Linked DNA regions of Kluyveromyces lactis. The protein of the gene in region 2 purifies or fractionates together with the protein of the main gene of each other region. This does not show direct contact. Links are inferred from orthologs where the notes say so. Each region holds a gene or a part of one and is shown on either strand. Other genes may lie near its edges. The genes, in order: MLC1 and SHE3.

The links.
Region 1: the proteins of SHE3 (region 2) and MLC1 purify together in Saccharomyces cerevisiae (affinity purification with mass spectrometry, with the first as the bait; 5 studies listed by BioGRID). This does not show direct contact. The link is inferred for Kluyveromyces lactis from reciprocal best matches to the Saccharomyces cerevisiae genes SHE3 and MLC1.

Annotation. Positions count from the first base shown.
Region 1 is NC_006042.1:962,056-964,313, forward strand, and holds MLC1 (Mlc1p), read right to left. Parts: upstream 1,057-2,258; coding exon 628-1,056; downstream 1-627. Other genes in the region: ERT1 (Ert1p), read left to right, coding at 1-472; KLLA0_F10461g (uncharacterized protein), read left to right, coding at 1,975-2,258. UniProt on the Saccharomyces cerevisiae protein: Essential light chain for the class II conventional myosin MYO1. Also acts as light chain for the class V unconventional myosin MYO2 and for IQG1.
Region 2 is NC_006040.1:759,752-762,565, reverse strand, and holds SHE3 (She3p), read right to left. Parts: upstream 1,772-2,814; coding exon 734-1,771; downstream 1-733. Other genes in the region: OPY1 (Opy1p), read right to left, coding at 1-252; RNA-binding signal recognition particle subunit SRP54, read right to left, coding at 2,156-2,814. UniProt on the Saccharomyces cerevisiae protein: RNA-binding protein that binds specific mRNAs including the ASH1 mRNA, coding for a repressor of the HO endonuclease. Part of the mRNA localization machinery that restricts accumulation of certain proteins to the bud and in the daughter cell.

The DNA.
Region 1 (2,258 bases), on a different chromosome or scaffold from region 2:
TGAGTTACGACCAATTTTCATTGCCAGTACTATCGACCTCACCGATGAAGATATGATATTTATGGAAAAGAGCCATCAGAGAACTTTATTAGAGTATGAGAAATTCATCTCTCAGGTTGGTACCCCAACTTGTGTATGGAGACGTAACGGACAGATCAGTTATGTGAATGACGAGTTTTCTCTATTGACTGGCTGGAATCGTCTAGAACTACTCAACAAAATGACCTTCATAGTCGAATTGATGGATGGTGATACGGTAATGGAGTACTTCCAAACGTTCACTAGGGTTGCATATCAGGGGTTCAGAGGTGCTGAAACTATGCGAATTTGTAATCTATTAACCCCGATCAAGGGAAGCGTTATTAAATGTTGTTGTCTATGGACGCTAAAAAGAGACGCCTTTGGTTTACCTATGATGATAATAGGGAACTTCATGCCAATTCTCACCCTACCAGAAGACGTTGGGTTTTGAATCTAGAACTGTCACAAGTCAATAGTATCGGACTGCTTAGAATAGAACAAAAGAGCAAAGCTCCTGGCGTGTGAGATTGGGTATTTATATTTATATATATATTTGTATTATACTAACTAATGCATGTAATCTTGAGTTGCATTACATCCTCTCTCTTATTGTCTCAATACATCTTCAACAAATTTCTTGTAGTCGATCAATCCGTCAGAGTCGATTTCGATCCCCTTCATCAATTCATCAACTTCCTCGTCAGTTAACCTTTCCCCTAGACCGGTCAATAGGTAACGAATATCACCTGGTGATACCTTGCCAGTATTATCCTTGTCAAAAACTTGAAAGGCTTTGATGAAATCCTCTACTTTACCTTGAGTAGTTTGCTCCAACTTCTCTTCGTTATCCTTAACTAATTTTTCTAGATCACCTAAGGTCAACTCGTCACCTGAAGAAGCGACAACTTCCTCCACTAGCGCATTGGTAGGATTGTATCCAATTGCTCTCAAATAATCACCAACTTGGGCCTTACTGATGGATCCCTTGGCTTGCTTGTCAAATAGCGTAAAAATATCTTTGTTGATTCTGGACATGATGATTGATTTCCCACTTCTTCAATGAATAATACAGTACTGCGTAATTAAATCACGATTCAGTATCACTTAGCCTAGCAAGAAGTAGATACTATTTAAAGCTCCAAGGTAAATATAAATCTATTCGAATGTGTAGAACAATGCATGCCTTCCTCCAGTAAATATATCAAATGTAAAGATACTCTTATTGTTTACGTTTTTCAAAATGGAAAACAAATTATTGTTTCTGGGGCCTCAAAAGCTCTTTTTTTGGACGACCTAAAACTCAGTCAGATATCATTTACCCGGATTTTAAATACCCATCACGTGAGTCAAATATATTGTTACCCGCACAATTCAACATCGCATTTCGAAAATTTCCAACCTTCCCTCGTTCAGTTTCTTTTCCTCAGCATCCAATGTTCCTGACATCTGATGACACTTTTTCTTTTGTCTTCTTGTCGAGCGATGAAAAGTGTTCAAGCTTCTTTTTTGATATGACCTATATAACAAAAGCGATTATTAACATACTCAATAACAGTTTTTTATCGTTCAGTGTCGTATCACTTTTGTTAACTAAGACATAATTTTCATTGTTGTGTTTTCTTTTGTTATAGCTCAGTACTATATCACAGATCAGTATACCGTTTAAACTCTGAACATTATATTGTGTTCCTTCGTTCATCAGTAAAAAAAAAGGTATGTGTGACTACTATGTCCGATTACAATAGGTTCGGGTTTCCCTCAGAGGCGATGGATATATATATATTCCCTAAACTCTAACACTATTCAAGATTTTAGACTTTTACCTATAAAAAAAGTCTTTGGTTCATATTACTAACAAATTCTTTTGATTATTATACACAGAGCTAATCAACTGTTCGTTATTAGTGTTTTTTCCGGTTAAAAAGAACATCTTCTTTGCCATTGTCTAAAACCATGTTTAGACTTGTCCAACAACAGACCCTAAAGAGTAGGGTCCCAAATCAGTTCGTTTCTGCGTCCAGAAATTCTTTAAATTCCCAGTTCCGTTTCAACAGCGCTGTCGCACTAGAGCGTAATCCTCAACAGGATCCAACAACTGCAGCACCAGCCAAGTCGTCTTCGGATAAGAGAAACTCTAAGAAGAAGTATGAAAATAATGAAATCATTGAACGTAACGTTAAAAAGGTCCGCAACCTAAGAAGAAACATAAAATTCGATAATTTCAAAAACTCTCCTAA
Region 2 (2,814 bases):
GCATCCCAAAATATCTTGTATCGGAATAACTTTCTCGGCAACCCTCTCAGACTCATCCTTATAATAACTGAATTGCGTCTTCCTTAAGACGCACCAGTACTTGTGATTGTATTTCGTCTTCTTGACACTCCAATTAGTCCAGTTCTTTGCCAATTGTTTCGTGGATGAAATAGACTTCGAGACGGTGGGTTTTTTTACAAGATATGACGAATAAATAATCTCTTCATTATCTTCGAAGGTTTGTTGTCCCATTTCTTCTTGCAGAGACAACTGTCTAGTACTATGATATTGATTTCGCCGTTTTCCTTGTAAAAATGATGATTTCCAGGCGGCACGATCGGCCAGTGGTCATTGTAATTTGTTGTCGTTTTTGTTTAATCGTTTAGGATTCGTGCCAAGTTCCTTTCTTTATACAAATAATCCTTTGTTTCGAAAATATATGGAAATGGATCATGCAGGAAACACAAGAAACCGATATCCTGAATACAAAAATGAACGCTGATGAAAGTATGTAGATCTTCACTACTACCTGCTCGGTTAGGATGAGTACTTGAACATAGTGTTGGTATTCTCTGGAAAATCGGATTCAAGAAAGGTAACGTTTTTATTCAAATCATAAATTCTATATAATGAATTGTGAATCGCTAGATTTATGTATAAGTTAGAAACGCCAGGATAATTTATTGACAATATATGTTTGCCAACAATAGAATATTGGGAAATACTACTCTTGCTATCTATTACGGTTCGGATCTGATGATATTCTGATTGATGAAGCTCTTTTGAGGCCAGGCAATTGAGTTGAACTGCTAGATGGAGGCGTTTGTTTGTTTGATGGTATTGAGAAGCCAGTAGGAGTTCCATAAAAACTTGTCCTCTTTTGACCACTAGTTTTCCTCTTGGGATTTCTTAATTGTGGGATAGACGCTTTGGGTTGTTCTTGAATGGTAATACCTTCTGCTTGTGCTTGTGATTTGTATTCTTTCAATAAAGCTTGCGCTTCTCTTAACGAAGATTGCCAACTATCAAGCCTTAGTTCTTTGATATTATCTTCTATTTGCTCAGATGCATGTTTTTTAAAGGATTCTTGAGCACTGTCTAGTGACTCTAGTTTATTTTGTATCTTTTCATCGATTGCCAATACTTCCTTCGTCTTAGATTCCAACTGTTTGGTCATGGATTGTTTCAAAGACATTAGATCATTTCGTAAAGTGCTTGTTTCGTTCGTGAAAAACTGTTTATAAGATTGGTGTGCATCGACGATAGCTTCATATTGAATTTTATACAGAGTCGATTGTTCCGTAAGCTTTTCGTTTTCGAGTGATAGTTTCTTAACGGTTTCTTCTAACTCAAGATTTTTTTTGGCTGCATCTTCATTGAACACAGTTTGTTTCTTCAAAGAACTCTCCAATTCATTCATTCTATTAGTTTTCCTATCTAGTATTGCATTTAGGTTCATATTTTCTGTCTGCAGTCTCGAGATGGTCTCCAATTGTTTATTCTGTTTCTTCCCAGAAGATTCCAATTCATTCACTAATTGATGGCATTGAGACGTCATTTTAAGATTCGTACTCGTCAGCTCGTCTATCTGCTTGTGTAGTGATTCTATTACTCTACTGGTAGAGTATTTTCCCGGTGTGTATGCACCTAGCTTGGACGGACTCTCCTGATTCTCTAGGTTCGTAATAAAATGGCCATGGTTGATATTGAATTTGCTTGAATTCACACCTTTCGTAGGAGTCAAGAACTCTTGTGCTTCCGTCATCTTCATCCACAGTCGGTCCTAGATATTACTTCCAACGATTCTGGAACTTTAACTGAATGCTTCTGTCATTCTAAGTTGCGTGTGTCTTAATATTAACGTATTTGTTTCAGTTCGATATCGTTTTTTTTTCTTGAAATGTAAACAATGATCGTTTTAATGATCTACTACGAATAGTACTTCGAGAGAGACTGCACAAGAAGAAACTGGGCTCGATTCACCCATTTATAATGAAGCTAGCTCTATTGAAGGTATAATCACAGAGGTGGATTTCTAATTTACAGATTAACGAAGAAGAAGGTAAATAAGAGTGTATGTAACTAAACTAAGATGTACAAATATCCAAGTATCTGCCGATTGCGTTTTATAATAGCCCATTCTGAAGAAAACGCTCTACATTCCCCCAGAAAATTGCTTGGCCATTTCTTGCATACTTGGATCTTGCATCATTCCCATGATATCTTGCATGTTTGGCATACCACCTCCAGATCCTTTCATCATACTCATCATCTTGTTCATCATACCAGGATTCTGTCTCATACGCTGTTGAGCCTGTTGCATCATTTGTGGAGAGATATTTGGCATACCAGGGATTGATGGCATACCAGGGATAGAAGGCATACCTGCCTTTGGTGGCATTCCGCCTTTTGTTGGGAGTCCTCCCATTTGTTTAGTTGTTTGCGCCATTCTTGCCATCATCTGTTGTTGCATTAAAAGCATTTCAATATCAAATACCGTTGTTCCGGAACCCTTTGCCACTCTTACCAACCTACTAGGTTCATCGATGAAGATTCTACCGTCCGATTCAAGTTCCTTCTTGGTCATTGAATCAAAAATATACACCATTGTCTTCATTTTCTTTGAAGTTTCCTCTTCTGAGAATTGGTTAAGCATATTCCCCATACCAGGAATCATATTCGCGATGTTTGATAGGGGACCCATCTTCATTATTGTTTGCATCTGGTTCTTGAAATCAAGTAGAGTGAATTTACCCTGTTGGATATTCTCTAAAGTATTCTTTGCATCATCTTGGTCAGATACTGTTTGGAAAC